2 linked regions of the Struthio camelus genome follow. Each later gene encodes a partner of the first gene's protein in a complex. Links are inferred from orthologs where the notes say so. Each region holds a gene or a part of one and is shown on either strand. Other genes may lie near its edges.

The links.
Region 2: USH1C (region 1) and ANKS4B share a complex: the UniProt entries of both Homo sapiens proteins name them as parts of the IMAC/intermicrovillar adhesion complex. The link is inferred for Struthio camelus from reciprocal best matches to the Homo sapiens genes USH1C and ANKS4B.

The regions. Positions count from the first base shown.
Region 1 is NC_090946.1:20,459,149-20,470,652, forward strand, and holds the start of USH1C (harmonin), read left to right. Parts: upstream 1-7,089; 5' UTR 7,090-7,104; coding exon 7,105-7,173; intron 7,174-7,490; coding exon 7,491-7,558; intron 7,559-9,558; coding exon 9,559-9,702; intron 9,703-10,231; coding exon 10,232-10,370; intron 10,371-11,504. UniProt on the Homo sapiens protein: Anchoring/scaffolding protein that is a part of the functional network formed by USH1C, USH1G, CDH23 and MYO7A that mediates mechanotransduction in cochlear hair cells. Required for normal development and maintenance of cochlear hair cell bundles.
Region 2 is NC_090956.1:9,585,893-9,596,785, reverse strand, and holds the start of ANKS4B (ankyrin repeat and SAM domain-containing protein 4B), read left to right. Parts: upstream 1-5,664; 5' UTR 5,665-5,757; coding exon 5,758-5,921; intron 5,922-9,519; coding exon 9,520-10,597; 3' UTR 10,598-10,893. UniProt on the Homo sapiens protein: As part of the intermicrovillar adhesion complex/IMAC plays a role in epithelial brush border differentiation, controlling microvilli organization and length. Plays a role in assembly of the complex.

The sequences.
Region 1 (11,504 bases):
ATGAAATGATGGAGAACTAGTGATGTTTTCACTGAGAATTCCGTTCCCTCCTGTAAATGCTGGGGGAGTTTGTGTATGAAAGAAGCAAAGGGGAGACAGAAAAGAGATTCTTTGACTTCAGCACAGCCTTTTCCAAATAATACTAAACAGTTTTTTAGAAACGTATACTACCCTCAGCCCATAGCAGAGCCCATCTACTCTGAATGCACCACGCACTTGGCTTTGGTGCTCTTTCTCTGATCCAGATTGCATCAATGGAAGTAGAGAAAGTAGATCAAAAGTGACAGGTATCAGTTTACACAACACGCATTTAAACGTATTTCTTTGCCTAGTAAATGGGCTGCCTATTTTATCCATTTTCCCTTAAAGCCACAAGTAGCAAACAATATCTGGCACTTGTTTAAAGCTCATTTAGATGCACTATGCTTTCTCACTAAGAAGGATTTCATTACCTAAAACTAATAAGCAGTCATAATTGTACCATCTTTTAATGTGACATATTTGAAGTAATGGAAACTTCAGAACCTTCTCGCAAATTTACTGATTATTAAGCTTGCTGTTTTGGAGCATGCAATAGCTTTGTAAGTTTGTTTGCTTTGTACTTAGGCACAGAGGAGCACAGGAACTCTTGTAACAGAGCAGACTAATAACCCATCAAGTTCATTATTCTTTCTTTGGTATACCCTTCATCTGGTGACTCAGAGCAGTTTTCAAATCACCAAATAAAGTTAATTCCACACTATTTTACGACAGGAGGAAGAGTTTCTGACTCCAGGAATATTTATGGTCTGTATGATAAAAAGGTCACTTTCTTTCAAATGTACATGACTCTTTGAGCTGATAAAAGATTTCTTTCTGTTAGGAGTTCAAGAAGTGTTATATATCAATTAATATTACAGTCTATGTGTACGTTTAAAAGAAACATATATGGTATTTCGTCTATCTCCTTTAAATTTCATGCATCTCCTTTCTTCTGCTGTCAAATATAAGACAATTTTGTTTTGCATATGCAGGGAAGGCATTATATGGCTGTGTATCTGATGCTTGGATAGAATCACTTTTCAATATGTGCTTCTACAAGTTACCTTAGGTAGAAGACAAAATATTTGTGTATGAGTTGCATTTCTGCAAAGAGAAAATTTTGATTTCTGAAAACAGTTTTTGTCCTTGTTTGTACATATGTTTAAAATGCATTCCTCTCTTTTTTATTCTTGACACCTGACAGAGGAGAATGGCAGGGCTTGTAACGGTGAAGTGCTCCTATACAGCAAAGCCATCTTCTGAAAGGGGTAAGAGCAATTTCTAAGGGAGACAGTTCAGCTTAGGTTAGCTGAACCTAACTGAAGCTAGGAACCTAGCTGGAAGCTGAACCTCTTTCTGTCTTTTCACACAGAAATAGTATGATGGGTTCCAGTTTGTATTTGGCAGTAGGGCATTTTTTCCATCATTCTTTTATATGTCTTCATAGACATTTCCACCCTGCTGGAAGGAGGCTAAGTAAGCTACCTGTGCTTATGTAAACCAGTTAGGTTAGTTCTTGCCAGAGTTACACAGGCAAAGCTGATTCTGCCACAGCGTTAGGGGCATAGGCTAGCTAGGCTCCTGCACTCTCTCTTTCAACCTTAATTGTAGAAATCTTTGTTATTCTGTACTAGATTAGGGAAAGTGGGAAGAGAACCAGCCCAAGACAAAATTATCTAAATGAGATTAGTCTGAAACAAGCTTCTTTCTGGGCATTCTGAGCTTGATTCTGATCCAGGTACAGAGTTGCAGTCGGCAAGTCAGGAGCTACATACACAAGTAACAGTATTCCTTTAGTGGGAAAAGCTGGTGGAAGTGAGATCAGGCTTGGAAACCCAACAATCATAAACCAAACTCCTGCTTACCTAATCATAAAATCATTGAGATTATTTGCAGTATAGCAATTCACTGAAGCAACTCCTTTTTTCCCCTCTCCAGGTGTCCATGCTGTAGGTCCCACGTCTTAGAGCATTTCTTAAATAGCAGGGCTAGAGATAGCCATACTTAAACACACGAGAGATGTTTTGGCTATATCCATGAGGAAGCACCACCTGTAAAGCAGCATGTTGCGAGCACACCTCTAGAGCTCAAAGCGCAGGTAATACGGGGCAGAGGAAGCCCGCTTTTGGGGGGCTCAAACAAGCAAAAGCTTCACGGTGTAAGGGAGGTGGTGGCTGGCGGGCGGCTGCTGCAGCGAGGCCGGGGGCTGAGCCTCGAGCAGGCGCCGCGGAAGAGGAGGAGGAGGAGGAAGAAGAGGAGGGCGGCGCGCCTCCCTCCGCCGGGCCGGGGCGCGGCCTCTGCGGGCGCAGCCGCTCCGCGTCCCGCGCGCCGTTCCGCGTTCCGCGTCCCGGGCCCCGCGCGGCGGCGCGCCATGGAGCGGCGGGTGGCGCGGGAGTTCAGGCACAAGGTAAGCGGGGAGCGGCGGCGGCGGTTCCAGCCTCTAAAGAGGGAAGGAGAGGCCAAAGCAGGCCTGTGTGCCTGAGTTTTCTTTCAGGGCTTGACACAGTTATTTCCCGCGCCTCAATACAATCGTGTCAGGAAACACTGTTGCAACAGGGAGTTCGCATTTGCGGTTCTGCGCAGCAGCAGCCGGGGCTCAGGAGCGTCCAGAGCCACCTTAACTTTCCAGCGACGTGCATTTGTGCATGTGCAGTCATGTGCAAATGCGCTTCGTACATGGAGCGGCTCGGTCTGCCTGGCACGTCGTTTTGTCACTTACCTAGTCAAGTAAGTGCTCTGTAGAGCTCATGATCGTGTGAGCAAAGTAAGCTCAAAGAGCACTTTTTAAGGAAATGAATGGAAAAAAAGGTATATACCTTTAAGGGATGCTTTGCCGTAGCAGTTTACAACTGTCTCAGACTAAAGTTTTTAGTGCCTTTTTTTTTTTTTTTGCTAGTGAATGGGATTTCTCTGAGGTAAGTTCCAGAAAAGACAGTAGTGTAATGTTATGTTCTATAGTAGTTAAACGTGAACTGGTAATAAAACCCTTGACTAAAGAATTGTTAGAATGAAGTAGAGGGGCTGCAAATAACCAGCTATATACGAAATGAAGTCCAAAAACTTTAAGGACCTGGATACTGTGTACTTATGACTACTGGTATCTAGCAAGTTATTTCTGCCTTGCTACCTATTATTGTATAACTCCGCAGTGGGTTATGCAACTTGTCTATAAAGTCTGGGCAAACGGTTACCATCTTGAACCTTAAACCTTATTCCTTTTCGTCTCTGCTATAATTCATGAATCATCCTAGTCCCACCCTACTAACACAAGGAAGCTTTATCACCGCCATTCATTGGTGAAAGTAAATATGATGCATGTCTACATGAAAATGGTTTATCTGAGTAAGACAATATTGAAGCAGGTGTTCTCCTTTAAATTGTTTTGTATCAGCATGCTTTTAGTGGCCTCTGTAGAATTTTAATATCTTGTGTACTTGCTTTTGCTGTGTCAAAACAATGAAAGTGCACAGCTACAGGACCTGAGTTTCCGGTCAATTATTTGCCACTTCCATTTTGTTTTTGTTTCTCTATAATTTTAATCAGTCCTCCCTATCAACTAAGCAGCAAGCCTAGAGATTAATTATTCACAAGTATATTGGCCAGTTCTTCCATTTTCTGAAATAGTTTCCAAAGGCTTCGTAGTTCAAGTACAGTTTTATAGTAATTTTTGAAAGCTGATGGATTAGGCTACTGCTACAGTAGTGCCTCACTGTAATAAGCACTTTTGGTGTGGAAAATTCCAGGGTTTTTTTTTCACAGTTTTTATTCTACTAAATAACCTGCTATAGATCTCTTGCAGACTTTTTGTATGTAGGTGCAATTTTTGTGATGATTTCTTATTAATTTAAATGGACAAAACTGTGTGATATATGTAGTAAGAAATAGAGCATAAGCAACTTTTCATATGTATTCTGGGATTGAGAGTTACACAAGAACTATGTGAAAGTTGCACAACTGCTATAGTATCCTTAAATAATCAATATGAAATACCTTTATATTAAGAACATCCATTAAGTGTCTACCTAAATAACATATTGCTTCTTAATAGAGGTATCTGCAGCTGTTTATCCTAGCATTTCTGTATCTGCTACAAGATATGATTTTGTAAGATGTGTAATCACATGAGCTTTGACCTTTCATATAAGAGACTACAAATACAGTACCTAATGTCTTACGCTAAACAATCAGGACACATGTTCATTTTATCAAGTCTCCACACAACTGATTTATTTTTCAGTTGGTAAATTGTGCTGTGTTTTAGAAAGTGCGGCAGATGTCATGCTGTTCACTATTTACTGTTTTGTGTTTCAAGTTCAATGGTGCATGTGTTGAAGCTCACTGAGGAAACAATAAATCGATGTGTCCATTTATGCATATTCATTCTTGCTTACAGAATCTGTCTCTATGTCAGTTTTCTTAAAAACATATTTGAACCTGAAGCCTTTAACAATTACACCGATGTTAAAATGAACTATTAGATTTGACTAGATCAGCAATCAGCTCCGTGTTTTACAATAGCTGGTAGCAAAATGCTTCTGCAGCTAGTGAAAGAAGCCCATAATGGAGAGCTGTGTCATGGCCTGCGCTTATAACCAAGAGGTTTTCTATCACTTGCAGTCTCTGTTTTAATTCCAGATGCTATTTTTATTTAGATAAATGTCTGTTGCATGCTTCTTTGTTTTTAAGCTTGCTATTTCAATACCAATGTAATGGCAATGATGGCACTACTCCAACACTGTGTCCAGATAGAATATCCGAGGAATTACACCAAGAGGTTAGAAACAAGCTTCAAAAATTCACTATGCTGAAGTCAGAGGTTAGGAGAAGTCCATCTTGTTAACCTTGTTGAAGAGATAGGTATGTGTCTTTGTCATAGTTGGTACATTAGCAGAGGAGTTTACTCTCTCTGTGTCATAGTTGGTACATTAGCAGAGGAGTTTACTCTCTCTGTGTGTGTACTTATATAACGCTGAGTACTGGATCCACTCATCATGCACATTACCTTTGTAGGTATGAAACAGAATGGTGTGTTATAGCCCTCCGACACAGAGAAGATGTTTCTGAAAAAATAAGGTTACTCATATTTAACAGACCCTTATGTAAAATAATCAGATAATTTACATACTGGAGGTGGAATAATCTGTCCAAATTTTGCATAGAACTTCAGTTCATTCTAGTCTAAGTTTGTCACTTCAGGATTCCTCTGTAGTCATTGGAGAAAGGATGTAATGAAGTGTCTTCTGCAGATGTCTAGGATGAAGTATCAAGTGGAAGTGCCTGCCTTTATCCATTGACTATGAAGGAATCCCAGTCATATGCTTTAAGCTATATGTCTAACCTACAGATGAGATGAAGCCCTCCTGCTCAGAGTTGGGTAGCTTTCTAAAAGAGATGGTGCAGTTCAACCAGAAGCCATGGGCTTGGTGCACAAATCAGCAGAAATGGTATAAAAGTTGAATATAATGAAAATGAGCAGAATGGACTCTCCTGGGTTTACAGGCTATGAAATCATCTATCCCATGCCTCCACAGTTACATTTCTCAAGAACCAGAGAGCTACTAAAACATTTTACTGGTCCAGGTTACACCATGTTGTCACTGATTTATTGCTTAACCTGTGAGGGCAAGAACTTTTGAGATTTCTGCAGAGTCAGCTTTTAGAAGCTGCTGATGAGACTAGCTAAACTGTATACTTACAATAAGGCTATCCCAAGGAGTTAATTATTTAGAAGAATGGTAAGAGATGGCAGGTGGCTACAATAAAAATGATAGTTGGTGAAATAGGAGGCAGCAGGAGAAGAATGACCTGATTAGAGAGAAGGTCCAGGAAGACTTTCCCAGCAGTCGTGTTCTGAATAGATGAGACAACCAACATCCAGGTAAACTTCACAAGGAAGGAGCAGGTTGCTGGCTTAGAGTGAGAAGTGTGGTAATCAAACAGAAAAGAAAGGCCGAATGTAGTGTGAGAAGAAATTTAGATGCAGACCTTTGCTGCCTAAGGAGGGTGGGAGACGTGCCCACCAGCTAGTGCATGAGAGAAAAAGTACGTTGTTACTGGTTGCTTTCCCAGTCAGAAAGAAAGAAGATGAGGGTTTTGGCCTTTTCTCTGCGAGGGAAACAGGTTGACGTATTTGGTACTCTTCACGAGATCATATAAGCAGGCTTGTACAGAACCATAGTTAGCAGTAGAAGTTGAGTCCCTTAGACCAGGCCCTAAGCTGATTCATGCTGTGAGTATTTTTACTGATGGGAAAGAGAGAAATGAATATTGGACTTAGAAGCAACTCAAGGTGATAAATATAAAACTATGTATGGTATTGGTGAACCAGTCAGTTATGAATGCAAATGTATTATTTCCTTTTAAGGTGTTTTGAAATTCACTGTGAATAAATTAGTTTACTTGCTAGTAAAGCAATCTTGAGTAGGATTCATGCAGTCCTGTCCTGTGTGTAATTTTTCTAGCCTTTAATTGTTTTGAAAGTATTCTCTTCCACAGGATATAATTAGGAGAAAATCACTTATAAGTGGAGTCTGGCTGACTTCAGAGAGCAGAAGGGGTTGAAGAGAATATGAAGCATTTATTTAGTTTAGACTATACTACAAACTGGTGCAAATCTAGAAAGAAAGGAACTTCCTTTAAGTATGCAAATTAGTCTTCAGACTGCACGTCACAGTAATATTAGCCTTTAGGTCACATGTAAATGGTTTTCCTAAACATTAAGCTTGTCTAAAGGAAAATCGTGGTGATGTGAACTCTTACTGCAAGTAAGATCAGTGGGGTTCTTACTGTTGTCACTGAATATAAATTGAGCTCCTCATATCAGATTTCTGTATTTTTTTTAAATTTTATTTTACTGTAATTATCCAAGAACAGGCATTGTAATGTGATACTAGTTTAAGTAAATGTACTATTACTAAGGGAGGAAAGAATAACTAGCCAGTTCTATCACTTCAGAGCTGGAGCGAAGAGGAACAGCAGTGTAGAAGTTTGCATAATGTTTAAGTGAAATACGGAAATCGGTGGTTTGGAGCCACGGAACATAGGTTATAATTATATCAGTGTGATGTTTTTATCTGTGACAGCATGTGCTATGTTAATGAATGGCCAAAAAGGTTTCTGAAAACATTTATTCAACAGTACACTGATTATCAGGTAAGGCAAATGTGATATTATTGTGACAGCATTGCTCTGCTGAGAAGAAATCTAGCATATAGAATGTGTGATTTCAGTATTTACTGCCTTGTTCAATTACTGCAATATTAATTTTAAAAAGTCTTATTGCAAGCTTCGTATTTTGAGATAAAAATACTGTCTTGCAAAAATGTGCTGCTTTATTATTTTTTTTTTTTATAAAAACTTTCCCCTCTTGAAGTCTTTGGACTATGGCTTAGGAATTTGTGAAAGCTTTGTATGTTCAACATTTGTAGCTACTTAGTAAGAAAATTACAATAAAGTCTTTGGATTTTCAGGTTAATCTGCTAATTGACAATGAAGCTGAGAAGGATTACCTTTATGATGTGCTGCGGATGTACCACCAGTAAGATCTAGCTTTATATATGTTTGTGTTGAATTTCACCAATATTTTTAAAATTGAAGGATGAACATTCAATATTTTATGAAAGCAATCTTTCTGAATACCATCTAGAAAATAAAAGTAATAATTTCTAATTCTATGTAACGAAGTCTTATACTTTTGCAGAGTAGCCTGCTGACAAAAAAGGAGTATTTACTGTAGCTAATACTACAGTTTCTTTGTTTTTATGGCTTGTCGGTTTTGTGGACCTTTATTGGGAGGGAAACAAGAATGCAGGTAATAAAGCCGTACTTAGGAAACGGAAGAGAGTATTGATAACATTCATTAATATTTTCAAAGAATGCATATTTATTTTGGTCGGAGGCTTTTGCTGAGTCTGCTTTTTAAAGATTTTTGTAAACTATTCAGATTAAGAATTATTTTCAACTGTTTTATCTGAAAGCTGAAAAAAATTAGGCTGGGCGTCTGTCTAGCATGTTTAACAACTTCGATTTATTAAGACATAATGAAAAGGAAAAACTGTAAGGTGATAGGCCAATTACCAGTCCTTTTACTGAACTGATTTAAACCATGGTTGCTTAGGAGTTATATCACTGCAAATGAGATCAGCATCTGATCCATTGTTTCTCAAAGAATATGAGAATGTATTTTCCACTCATCACAGGCAACTGGCTCTGACGGACATTGTTTCCATTCATATCTTAACTAATAGCATCTCAGCTGAGTGAGATGTAGATGTTTCCATGCAGTGTTTGTACTGAGCTATCATTTTGGGTGTATTCAGCTGCATATCTGATTCTGTTTCAGTCGGGTCTGTCCAATTGTTTCTCCATTCATAAAGCCTGTTGTTTGGAAAGCAGGTTGAGTTGGTAGCTCTTAATTATTTAAAATCTTCTTGCAGTTACAAAATTAACAATGCATATAGTAACTTTTCCTCAATATCCAGAACTGCAACAGCTTTTGAGTAAAACTTCAAATATTGCTGTGAGGATTTATTGATCAAGCTGCTGCTGCTGCTTCTTTCTTTTTCAAATTAATTACAAAGCATTTCAAGGACAAAAATATACACAATTGCTATTGGCATTAATATTTAACATCTGCTTCACTGTGAATAGTGTTTGCAAATCAAAGTATATGGCCTCTAGTCTCATGTAATAGCCATTCCTGATCTGTATTTTCAGTATATATACCTCAAAAATATTTTATGTCAGGAAACCTAATTGGTGAGAGAGGGAACAGCAGATACTGTAGACTAAGTTTAACTGGATGCTACATAGGAATAGCTCCACTTATATAGAGCTGTTCCATGCTTGCAGCTGGGCAACAAAGACCACTTTCTAGAGCTATGAGTATCTCGGTGCTGACAGTATCAAGGATTACTTTGCATAGCTGTCACGAAAACAAATGGCCACAATAGTTTCACTTGTGTAGATTTTGTTAGTGGTTAACTTGGTTAATGACCCTTCAGTTTTGGTTTGTTTTGGTTTGAAACAAATCTTAAAACGGGTCTTTTCTCTATTGGGTATCATGTGATTTCTTCCTGGGTGGAAACAATTGATTAGTCCCCTGAATTCAGGAGAGGAAGGAATTTGTAGCCTTGGAAGGACTGTGAACTAGTAAGGAAATAGAAGTATAGTAGGCAGATATAACTGGTCTGGAAAGTTATTTCCAAACAATCCCATAAGTCTTCTGTTGGGGACTCTGAGAATGAAACTGAAGATGTCTTCTATAAAGATGTGATGTACATCATGTTAACAGATGTAAGGTATAGGAGACTTCAGTTATTTTTAAGGATGTGGTTACTGTTCCTACCTACCTATCTCGTTACAGAGGGTTTAGTTTTTCAAAGACTATTTTGCTTTGGTTTAAACAAGAGCTGCATAAATAACTTTCTTAGTAGGTTGAAGGCATACGCAGATATAACTTGCTCCACACGTAGCTTAAATTAAATAATACTTTGGTATGTTGGTTAGCTAAGCCTTTTTCTCACTGTAATTTTGTAGATCTATGAATCTTCCAGTGCTTGTGGGGGACCTAAAGCTCGTGATTAATGAACCAAGCAGATTGCCTCTGTTTGATGCTATCCGCCCACTTATCCCATTAAAACACCAGGTGGAGTATGATCAGCTTACACCCAAAAGATCACGGTAAGAGAATGCAGATAAGGTAGCGAAGTTCAGATAAATATACGCAAGAAATATTGCCTCATAGAGCTTATTTGAAAAATTACTTGAGCAAAATACCTGTTAGCTCTATAGAGCTGGGCACAATTTTTTGATGTTTGCTATAATTGCCAGAAGTACAGTTTTGAGCTACCTGAAACTGTTTGCCATGTAGTTTAATCTAGTAGAAGCAGGGTATGGGAGTCCAAAAACAAAGCTGAAGCAATCTTTTTTTTTTTTTTTCCTTCATTTTTCCTGCATTTAATAAAAAATTCTCTTACAGCTCTAGCCCTCTAGAAGCATACACAGCTTCCACAGTTGCAGGTGTCTTTCCTTGTTTAAAAAAAAAAAAAAACTTAATGGTTTTAGCAAACACACATCCATCAAATGTCAACTTGCTCTTTTTTCCAAGTCTGAATGAGGTAAGAGAAAAGTAATCCATAATTTTAGTATGAAGCATTGTTGCCACAAAGTATTATGCAGCTGAACAGCCAGATGTCTTCCAACTTTGCAGAAAGCTGAAAGAGGTGAGACTGGATCGTTTGCATCCTGAAGGACTTGGAATTAGTGTGAGAGGTGGTGTGGAATTTAGCTGCGGCCTCTTTATCTCCCAGTTAGTTAAAGGAGGACAAGCAGACAATGTTGGTCTTCAGGTAAGAAAATGATATTCATGGTGACTGTGCTGCAAAAAAAGCCTTTTTACTATGATGTTAGGGATGCATCCAATAAGAAATATTCTTTAATATTTATGAATAGCTGTCACTAACATGCTCTTTGTCTCTTATAGTAAAATTCATAAAATATATAAGTCAGTACCATAGTAATTATCACTAATGCCAATGGTGAATTAAGTTATTTTTCTTTTTCCTTTTTTTCCCTGCCAATAACAATGATATATAAACCTTTTTTGTGTGTTTGAGGTATGATAATTTTTGAAGATAAGAGCTTTCTAGAGTATTTATACTTCATGCGTAGGAAAAATTAAGTGTAAGCAGATGGAACAAAAGATCTTTTCTAACTACCTGTGGGAGAATGTTTCAAGTTACGAAATTATGATTAAATGTAGAGCATAGTACATAAATACTAAAAATGTTAATTCCACTTTGCAGTGATATCATTTGTGTAATGAGATGTTTAGTTAAACTTCTGTGTATAGACGACTATTTTGTTTATCCTGTGGAAGCACATAAAAGCAATAACCCAGTTTTAACCCTTTCCAATATCCCTTGAGCTGCATGCAATTGCTCTTTCAGTGATTAAATTCTAGATACTTGAACTGTAACAAGACTGGCAAAATAATATATATTAAAAATACGTTTTTTTCTCTAAGACAGTACTTCTGTAATGCCCATTAACAAAGATTTTTTTTTAAAATGTGTATTGTTTATGCATTTATCTTAACTAAGGTAAAAGTGAGCAATTGTTATGGGAAATGTCTGCCTCTTCCTATGCCTTTGTACCTGATCAAGTGAAGCGTTGGTCTGTGTTTCTCAGTAGGAAGTAATAACACTGATATGTCTGATTAATTTCAATTTGTAGACTGTGAACAGTTGCTAGAAATGCTGACCTTTAAGGATGACATTTAATATTAGTCCAAAAGATGCCAAACTGGCATGATTCAGTATGGTGTTGAATTCAACTAGTGTGTTCTGTAAACGTGGCTTCACTGTAACCCCTCACTACTCTTGAAAATCAGAAAGTGCCTGTTCCACAAGTTAGGTAGTCACAGCTAGGGTTCCATGTTTGCGTGATTCACTCTGAGATGTTTCTAAAATTCAAATAAATGT
Region 2 (10,893 bases), on another chromosome or scaffold:
GAGGTGTTGGCTAGAACGCCAGCACCCAGAGCTGCGGGGAAGGGGCCTAGCAAAACAGAAACTCATATTTATGTTATTTTTCAGCTTCCCTGATATCTTTGCATTTAGCCATACTTGTAAAAAAACCCAAAGATACATATTTTTTAAAGTAATTGAATTCTTGAGGTGTGAGAAAGTGAAAAGACAGATCTTAGGAACAGAAGAAAATAAATCGTACAGATGGTAATTTAGGAACGGGATGTTAAATTGGGCTTCAGGGAATAACAGATTTTGCTCACATGTATTCATCTGTCTTTCTTTTTGCAGTTAGAGACCTATGCATAGAGTAGATTTTAGGAGCTCCCAGCCTGAGTGACAATAGCCTCGTTTCTCTTAGAGACTGGCAATTTTGAGAAAGAGCTGGTCTATGGGGTGCCAAAGTGCTGGGAGCTTGGATGGGACAAGAGCATGCCTGGCAGTGTGTGTCATTGTCATCAGCATGCTCTGTAGCAAAATATTATAATTTTCCTGCAGGCAGAACACATGATTAGTGTAAGTATTTTTTAAATTTACATTATTTAGAAGCATCTCTTTAACATTCATCCCTGTGGGAAAATGGCAAATACAGAGTTAAAGCTGTCATGCAAGTGGGGGTGTCAAGCGTGCGCTACACCAACAGGCAGGCACCAGTTGGGATCCATAACTACTCCAGAGTAAATGGCACCTCATGTTAGCAGTATGAGGAGAGACAGAACCTGATGGCTTTTGCCATCAGTAGGACTAGTATGTGGCTACGCTTTGGTGAAAAAATAATTTTCCAGAGACTCCTGAACTGGAAGTCACAAAACATACACCAAGACCCTTCACTTTTCTTCTTTTTTTTTTTTTTTTACAATCAGATTAATTGTTTTCAAAAGCAATGATAATACGGAAAACTAATGAAACAAACTCTGAAGCCATACGCTAGTTTAACATATCTATTTTTATTAGGTTGGGTTTAATTAATACAGTCAGGGAGAAAAAAGGGCTTCAGGTGCCCGCCCTCGAGAGAACCGTGCAAACGAAGTACCTTCAGGCAGGACCAAATCCGACGCAAAGTTAAAACTTACCCAGTTTCCCTGCCCTGATTCACAGCTTCATTAAGTTGGTGGAAAGACTCTCAGACCTGGGGAGCTGTGGATGGTGCTCCCAGAGCCTGGCTGACCCTGGGCCGGTGCCGGCGGGTGAGGCCGGCTGGCGAAAGCTCAGTCTCGCCTCAAGTCTGAGTGATGCTGCCAGCTTGGCGGAAGGCTGCGGAGGCCTGAGCAGAGGCAGCGCATGGTCTCTAAGCAGGAGGAGAGACCGTCCCTGCCGGCTAGAGTTCACTAAGGGTTTTGCCCACCCTCAGATGCCTCGCAGCAGGTTGTGGCTTGTGTTAGGCGAAAGATGGTGTCGGACCAGACAGCGTTTGACAGGCAGAGCGATGCCACTGCCGCGGTCACCACAACTGGATTTTCCCTGCAGCACACGTTAGCAGCTCTTAATAGCAATCGGGCAGTACGTAAGTTTGGAGGATGCGGTTCATCAAAGCGCGCTAAGATAATTGGCTGTTGCTTCATTTAACATGTCTGAATTCAGAGTGTGCGACTTGAGCTACAGAGGAAGCACAGCCGTCCCTCTTCTCAAAAAATTCAGTTCCACCCGTCAGAATTGTTGAACCTGTAGGAATAATTTTGGTCTGCGTTACATAGCTAAACAGTTAATTCATGCTCTGAAGAGCAAAAACAGCTCCGTGGCTCTCATTTTTTTTTGCTGCAAAAGCTTGGCAGGTCTCCTCTCCTGTTTCTCTGCTTTTCTCTTCTACTTCTTTGACTTTCTGACTTTTGGGAAAAAAGGCATTACCCAAGACCAGCGCTGAACACCCCAGAAGCGAGGGCATCGCATACTGACCCTGGAGAGCATGGCTCACGTCCTCTTGGATGTCCTCTTCTGACACACTGGTGGTAGGACAACATTTCAGACAGCAGCGAGAGCAGGGCTCACTTTCCTTCTCCATGAGACTATTTGTAGCACTGCTGAAGTTATTAAGGAAGTTATTAAGGAAAAAGAGGCAAGAAGGAGGCGTCAGCAGCGCAAAAAGCCTCGACGCCAGGCCACACCTGCTGCCGCTGAGCGCTCCCAGCTAGGACACCTATTCCAAGGGCCGCGAGGCCGCGACAAGCAGCATCACTGCTTGCAGGGCCACGAACGCCCCCCGGGCTGCTCGCCCGTTCCCAGCAGGCAGGGCGGCGAGGAGGGGCGCGAGGTGAGGCGGAGGCGCGCCTGAGGAGGGACGCGCCTTTGGTACCGCCACTGTTATTGCCTTCCCAGTTGGGGGATAACCTTTCCCGATGGATGATGGCCTTGCTCCCGACACGACCCGGGCGGGCAGAGCGTGGGGCTGCCCCGGCACCGCCGGACTGGAGCCTGGCTGTGCCCGAGCCGAGCTCACCGCGGGACGGGGTCACGGTCGGCGCCGGCCCGTCTCGCCCAGCCTCTCCGCGGAGACAGGGTCGCTCCAGACTACATATAGCGACAGGATCCTGGGGCGCCGGGGTAGGCGTTGTGCCTGTATCAGGAGTGAAGAAATAAGCTTTTATTGTTGTTTAACTGTCGTCGTCATCTCTGAATTGTGTAACCGCGATCACCCCGTGTGACCAGCTCCGCTCTCCTCTAAGGCCCATTAGTTCCAGTGGGATCTCATTAGAGGAGCGGAGGAGACCTCCCCCTGTACGGCTTTTACCATACCACATTTGCCACTTATAAAAGTTGCGATGAGGAAATGCTGTGCTAGATAAGACCTCATGCAAAACAGATGGCACAACAACATCTCTGTTTTTCTCCCAAGGCATGAAGCAAGACTGGGCTCTGAATTATCTGGAACAACATAACTAATGGTTCGTTATCCGGAACAATATAACTAATGGTAGTCTTCAAATAAGTCTGAATAAACCCTAAATAGTTTGCTTAACTGCTAATGTCATATTTAAGATAGTTCTTAAAAAATTGGAGAAATAATCATAGACGTAACAAAATCCAATAATAAAAATCAAAACTGCTAGTTAAATAATTCATTAGTTTACAACAACACGTACCATCACAATAGGCTTTCTCCTGAGCCTGGTAAGACATTTCAATTGGAAGTGAAATGGTTTGGAAGTTCTTTTCAAACCCCAGAAGAAAAGCTTCATTCTAACTACTCAGGGAGTTTTAAAAGTTCACAATTTTGAGCCTTAGTCTCAGAAGAAAAATCTCCACTCAGGCTGAGAAATTTAACTCTCTCACGCTGAGAAATTTAACATCATTTGCTGTTGAAACATTTATTGCATTTAAATTGAGGTTTTTAGGCGGGGCAAGGATTCACAAATACCAGGATTTTAGAAATAGATGGAGATTTTGTTTGATCTTTTCTTTCTCTTTTGTGATGTCCTTTTTGTGATATAAATAACAAGAGAGTTTGCAAAGTCCTGGAGCACCTCTCCACTTGAAATGGGTTTTGCTTTACATCTAGTTAGAACTTGCAACAAAAGTTTTCCACTTAATGTCAGATGAAGTAACTGTCTTTTAAAATAAACATTTGCACCTATGACATGATAAAGATCACTTTGAGATCACCATTTTGCATGCTAAATTGATTGCCACAAAAGCTAATGAAGGTATTTCTATAGTAGAAAACAGCAGTCTTGAAAAACAGAATACAAAACTCTCCTTTGCCACGAGCTCGCGTTCATGGGTGTTGCTAGTGTTGCTAAGAGTGTGAAATTTAACCGTACGGGAAAAAACCTTGTCTTCTCTCTCATACCAGGCACTGGTGGCATGTGCAATACCTGCCTTCGTGACCCACTCGTGAGAGACTAAGAGCTTACAATACCCAGTACAGCAAATAAAATTCAATGGCAACAAGGAACAGCCAATCTAATATATTCATAACAAAGTGTACGTATCACTGTCTTCATCCTGCAATGTTTTTTCTAGTAGTTGTAAATTTAACCCAGTGCTGAGCCTGGTTAAACAGAAAATGGAATAAATAGCTTTGCGTTTTTGGTTAGAAAAGCGTTGATGGCAACGCGGGGAACTGGAAAAAGGGCTGAAGGCAAAACTGTCTTCTAATGCCAGACTGGAGGCTGGCCTGGGTGAAGCACGGTCCTTCCCCACTTGCCTGACACTGCAGGATAGCACCTGGGGACGGCCGCCGCTGTGGACGACGTGAAGGAAAACCAGGACTTTAGGTTACTCCTATGTAGACGTGTTTATTCAAAGATTAAAATCAGTTACAGGACCTGACTGACTCTCCTTGTCTTCACGGAGGAAAATGTAGGTAAAAGCTTGTTCCTGAAGAGCTCTTCAATCCCTGCCTGAGAAAATAATTAAGCGAGAAAGCCCATTTGGAGAGGTCTCCCACGAATTAGGTAGAGGGCATTATGGGAAATAAATGAGGTTGCACTCCACTCAGTAATTGCACCAATTCAAGACAATGACTTCGTTTGCGATTGCTCGTTTTGCCTCTGTAGCAGGGGACGTAATAAGCAACAAAACCTCACTGCTAATTGCCGAGAGTACGTTCTCTAAGATACAGGTTAATTCAGTTAGTCGTAGAAAACAGCTTGACAAAAAGTAACATTTATCTGGCAGCTGTCATGAATGTGACCAGAATAACAGCCTCCAGCATTTTATTAAGCTATCTATAGTCTCTTACTGATTTCTCCCTCAACTACTGTTCTAAAACTACCATTTTAGTTATTTTTCACTTAGTTATTCTTTTGAATCTCAGAATTAGAATTATGGTCCAATTCTATAAGCCTTTACTTAGAGAGGTAGCTGATAATCACTCAAGCAATTCCAGTGAAATCAATGGGAAACATTTCTAAAGAAAGTGGTACATATGTGAAAATGGGGCCTGTTCCCAGGTGAGGAGCACAGTGGAGATCAGGGCAGTGGGCGCAGGCCCATTGGGTTTCTCCTTCTTGAATTCCCTGTGCCACTTTGCGAAAATCATTCAAATTTTTTCACCTGCAGCTAAAATGGAGATAACAGTACCTGTAAGATGAATTAGTATTTGTCAAGTGCTTTAAGATTTTCTGATGAAAGGGAATTTGAGGTAAAAGGACCACACATTAGACGGTGGTTTTGCCTGCTGGGACTGGTGGACCCGCTGGCCAGTTTTGGCTGAGCGCCACCGCAGCCCTGCCAGGGCTGTTCCCAACCCACACGTTGATCTGCCTACGCAGAACAGCTCCAGGGATGTGGGCAGTTTTGCAGGGGAGAGACTTGTTTTTAGATGTAGTAACCCAATAAATGATAGGTTACAAAGGACTTCACTGGTAAAAATAACTGCTTACAGAGTATTTCATCCTATCAAAAATCAAGGATACTTTATTACTGAGGGTGAAATTTGGTCTTGTTGACATCAACGGCAAATCTCCTTTTCAAGTCAGTTGTCCCAGAACAGTTAGGCAAAAGCAGCTAAGACACAGAGAAGATGAATGAGTCCCCTCTATGTTGAAATAGTCAAATACTGCAGTAAATGGGGAATGCAGAGTCACCTCTCAGAAAATGAAAGCATTAAACATACCGCTGCCTTGTTTCTTAGGCACAGTTCCAGACGACTTTCCTGCTAGGATGAACTTTGCCTCCCTCATTTCCATCCTGAGGATGACGTCTCAACTTGTAATTATTGATTAACTATCCCTGTAATGGAAGGGTGGCTGTCCTGTCTGGCTGTCGTTCAGGCCTGCTCTGGGAAACCAGAAATTACTGAAAATGTCCACCAGGTATCACAAAGCAGCAGCTGATGGCAATTTGGAGCTCCTGAAAGAAGCCACTAGAAAAGATCTCAATACTTTGGATGAGGATGGGATGACGCCCACCCTCCTGGCAGCGTACCATGGGTATCTGGAAGCTCTGGAAGTTGTATGTCGGAGGGGGTAAGTGAATCGGGCTCAGTTTCTTAGAGCTTGTGGCACAAAGCTATAAACAGCGTGTAGCATTTCTAGTGCTGCCAATGTGTCAGACCCAAAAGGCTGAATATCCTGGTAATTTCTTCCTACGGTTGTGTCTCTTCGTTCACCTTGGTTTAGGCCATGAACCTGCAAACAGCCCTGTAGCGGCAGGTCAGCGAAGCCACATCAACAGCCCTGGGACCCTGTCACGGACATGGAGTCTGCAGGCAGCAGTCGGTAGCAACAGGGTCTGGGACCTAATCCGGCCTTAATGGAGGTCAAAGAAAAACTACTGTTTGTCTTCTGTAGAGGTTAACTTACATCTTTGAGAATAACATACTTTGAAACTAGCTCTATAAAGAAATGTCTTGAAACATTTTGAGCAAAAGAGCTCTGTCGTTTGCTTCCAAAGTGCAGTCAATGCCTGTGAAGGTCTAATGCTTTTCTGAGGCGTCGCAACTGATAGTTTTGAGATGGTAATACCTAAAATTGTTATTTCTCTGCTCTTTATATCATTACCAACTACTACCATGCTAAAAAGTTCATGATACTGTTTCAGGGGCTCAGGTAGGATCTTTGCAAACTAAAAAAAAAGAAAAAAATAAAGGAAGGTTTTATACAGGTGTACCTGCTAGTAGTAATATTTCTGATTGGAATCATTTACACATACTACATGCTTAAAATATATTACTGAAAAGGTCACTAGCTCCCCGTATCATCCTCTGTACTCTCTCTGCTTGAAGCCTATCTTTTATGCTGTGGTTCTGCAAAAAGATCTAATAAAAGAGAAGCTTTTCATGTGCAGAGATACAGTAAAGAAAATGTTTTTTTCTGGGCTGAGATGAAGATTAAATTGACCTGTATTTTCACTTGTAATAGCTGAAAGAAGATTAGAGGAAAAAGTTGAACAGCTATTTGGATGTATTTCGGTTTTCTTTTCTTAAAAATAGAACTGAAAATACAGACTATGAATAGGCATGTCATAGATTTGCTTTATAGCTCACTGAGCTCAGGTGTGGTTGTAATAGCACAACAAAAAAGACCTTTGGACTGTATGGTTATTGCTGTGTCCCCAAAAGCAGCAAAAATAGACTGACAGATTTTCAACTTGTATAATTAATACAGCTCCACGGAAATACCTAGAATCAATACAGGTTTGTCTGTGAACACAGACAGAACATCTAGCTAAGGAAACAATAACAAGATAATCTTCAGAATCTGAGGGAAAAATATATAATCTACCATATATGTTGATAGAAGTCACAGCAGATGACACAAAGATCAAAATTCCTACGTATTTGTTACTCAGTATATTTCTGACTCTATTTTTCTTGGTATAGGACAATTTTGGGATAGTGTTGCCCTCAAAATCTTCAAACATATGCATTCACCGCTATTTTAATCCAAGATTCCTTGACACAGTCCATAGACTGAGGCAGTCAGAGACAGCGCTGTAGTCTTACTCATCCCTCCTTGGCCACTGGAGAGAGCTGAACTGTGGAAGATTTTCCCTGTTCTACAGGCCAGCAATGTTTTCTTGTGAGAAAATATTTTGATTATTTTTAACAAATTCTTCCTTTCCTTGAAGTAGAGGTGGTTTCAGGGGTTTCCTGACAAAGGCACTCAGACACAGGATGGTTTTCTTTAGAGTTGTTGCAGATTTTAGGACTCTGAAGCCTGCAACACAGTCGGCCTCTAGAAAATGTGGCAATATTAACAACAACTCCCTTTCATCTTTAAACAGTTTGTCTTCCCAGGCAGTAAGAGATCTTCTCTCTGCCTGCTGTGCAGATACACGACCAGAGGCAAGAGCAAGCAGCAGACAGCAAGTAGCAGATCTGCTCACTTTTGTGAGCACTTTTGCCTCCTTCCTCACACTTGGGAAAGGAGAGAAAAGAGGAGTATGAGAACCCAAAGTAGATGTCAGACTTTATCCAAAGCCGCCCTGAGTAGGGAATCACCTCTCTAGCTTGTGAATTAGTTGAGAGCCAAAGGCTGGAAGGAAAAGAAACAGCAAACGGCTATGAAGAGACCTGGGGGGACGGATGACCCAGCACTTCTAGGCACTCCTGAGCCAGACGCAGGACAACGTAGCCCGATTGCTAAATTGGGGATTAAGGAATCTGGCTTCTAGGGCATGCTCTACCACAGGCAGGCAGTTCCCTCGGGCAGAGCCAGAAAGCAGAAATAGGTACACATTTTCCATATGTCTAAGTCAAAAACTGATCCTGAGCTGTCACCTCCTTGCAGCAATGCCTGCGCTCAGATTTGCTGTTGTTTCTCTGTGTGAGCAGCTCTGTGTCTGGGTCCACAGGGACCGCAGTCTCCCTCATCTCCCGCCTGTGGCATTGTAGTCTGAAGGATGTTCTCAGATTTAGCGCTCCTCAGATATGTTAGTGCTTTTCTCCCAGTGATATGCAAAGCCAGAGATCAACACCTGAAGGAAATTCTGTGACAGGACACACCATTTCATCCATAACACAAGGGCCGTGGAATAAATCCCCCAAGACACTTAAATGTTTAAAACTCCCAAGAGAGGAAATTCTCTTTGTAAATTTGACCCCTGAAGTTATTAAGGATTTTGGAATATGGTGAGTGCCTTGGTTATCGGGCACAGAAGATTCACGTGCTGTTCTGAACCATTGCTAATATTGATCCTACCAAGTATGAGTGAAAAGACTCAAACCAATTCTAATCTGCAGGCAGCAGTTCAGCGTGAAATGAATGCAAGAGTTAAAGAGAAAGCAACGCTTTTCACTGGCTTGAAATTCAATTGAAAAAATTTGGCATTTTATTTTCAAATGAGCTTCTGCTTTCCAAGCCCCATGAGCAAAAGCGTTTTAAGGAGAACAAAAGAGCTGACCGGGGCAGGGGTCTAACAGCAATGGAGACAGATGGGTTGTCAGGGCTTGACTCATAATCATCTACCTATTACCTATCAAAAAGGTTACTGATGTGCGCACATTAGATATATATCACTGTGATCAATGAAGAAGCCTCCTACCATTGTCCCTGCATGTGACATGCAAAAAGAACAATTTGCCAATAGCTTTTAAAATACTCTGGCCAAAAGCCACTGAAACAATTTTACCATTAACTCTAGTGAGTGTAAGTCAAAGTCTGAGGCTGCTTTCAGCAAATTTAGTGGTAGAGCGATCAGAGCTGCAAGCGCTTGTCCTTGCCCACACACAGGGTGGTTGCTGGCTACTGGTCTATCGCAGGAGGCAGGGGGGACCAACAGGGAACCAGCAAAGCCGTACCTGCAGCACCCCAGCAGTCTCGGGGCTGACACAGAGCAAGTACCCCAACCCCATCGTGGGGATACGCAGTCACACGTGGCCCCAAAGGGCTTGCTTAATTCAGAGAGGGCCAGGACTGAGCACTGATGCCATACATGCAGCCAAACTCCATCCCGGGGTAGGTAGGTGCAGCACCAGCCTAGAGAATGGAGCTAAGTCGGGTCATTTTCACTGGGGCTGTACTTCTCACAGCAAAGCTGAGTTAACCTTTTAGTACTCGTTTGATCCCAGTGCAGTGTTATGTTGGATATGTCCAGCTCACCATATGCTATTTGCCTTCTCAGAGGTGATCCTGACAAATGTGACATCTGGGGGAACACTCCTCTCCACCACGCTGCTTGCAATGGTCACGTCCATTGTGTTTCTTTTTTGATCAAGTTTGGTGCCAATATTTTTGCTCTGGACAATGATCTCCGTACTCCTCTGGAGGCAGCTGCCAGCAGAGATAGAAATGAGTGTGTCAGCATCCTGGACAAAGCCGCCACTGAACAGAACATGCTGAATCCAAAGAAAGTCTCAAAACTCAAAGCTCAGGCCCAGAGGAATGCAGAGAAACAAATCAGGGAATGTGAAAAGCGCCAGGACAAACACCAGCATGAAATGAATCAGAATTATATGAAAGAAAAGCTTGGCTCAGTAAATTCTTCCAGAGGGACACACTCCAGAGGAAAGGTGTCTAGTCTCTTTACTTCAAATACAACAACTTCTTTCTCCAAAAATCTGAAAGATACCTTCAAATTGAAGGCAAAAAAGACAGCTGGTAATGCAGGAAATCAGGAAACACAAAGCAACGGCCAAGAGGATAGCAAGGATAGAAGAACAACTGTGATGCATTTATTTGATGAAAAAGATGAGGATGAGTTACTGAATGACCTCAGAGAGATAAACTTTTCTGACAATGACAGTCAACTCTCTATTTTCAAGCGGCCAGGTCTTGGCAAGATTGTATTTGGAAGAAATTTGGCTGCAGATATAAATCCAGAAGCTATACCTTCTGGGAAAGAAAGCATCAGCTTTAAAATGTCCAGTGAGCTCTTTCAGCATGAAAATGCCGAGAACGGCAGGGAAGATGATGCTGAAAATAATGCTAATGTTCCTTGGAACGAGGAGGAACTCGTCTGGGACGACGAGGAAGGGGAGAACACGCCCCTGGAGGTATTTCTGGCATCACAGATGCTGGATGAGTTTCTTCCAGTCTTCATGAGGGAAAAAATCGATTTAGATGCCCTCATGCTATGCTCTGATGAAGATCTACAGAGCATTCAAATGGAGCTGGGACCACGAAAGAAAGTCCTGAATGCCATGGATAGAAGAAAACAGGCACTCAAGAACCCTGGAAAAACTACAGATACTCGCTTATAAACAAGCATATTTGTTTCTGGACCCTGCACACTGATTCATTATCCTTTGCTCTTTCACAATAACATGCAGTTCTCCTCAGACATCTGCTAAAGCAAAAGGCAAAGAGGTTACCAGTTCTTTTAGCATGTACAGTGAGGCCAAAATGCTTCTCTCTGGATAGATGACTGCAGTGCACAAGACAGAAATGCAAGTGTATTCTGCTAAAAGAAAAAAATTAAAGGTAAAAAACAAAAAACCTCTAGATTTAAAACTCTCTCTCCCAGAACTGTCTTACGGGGATTGGATGTTTTTTGGTG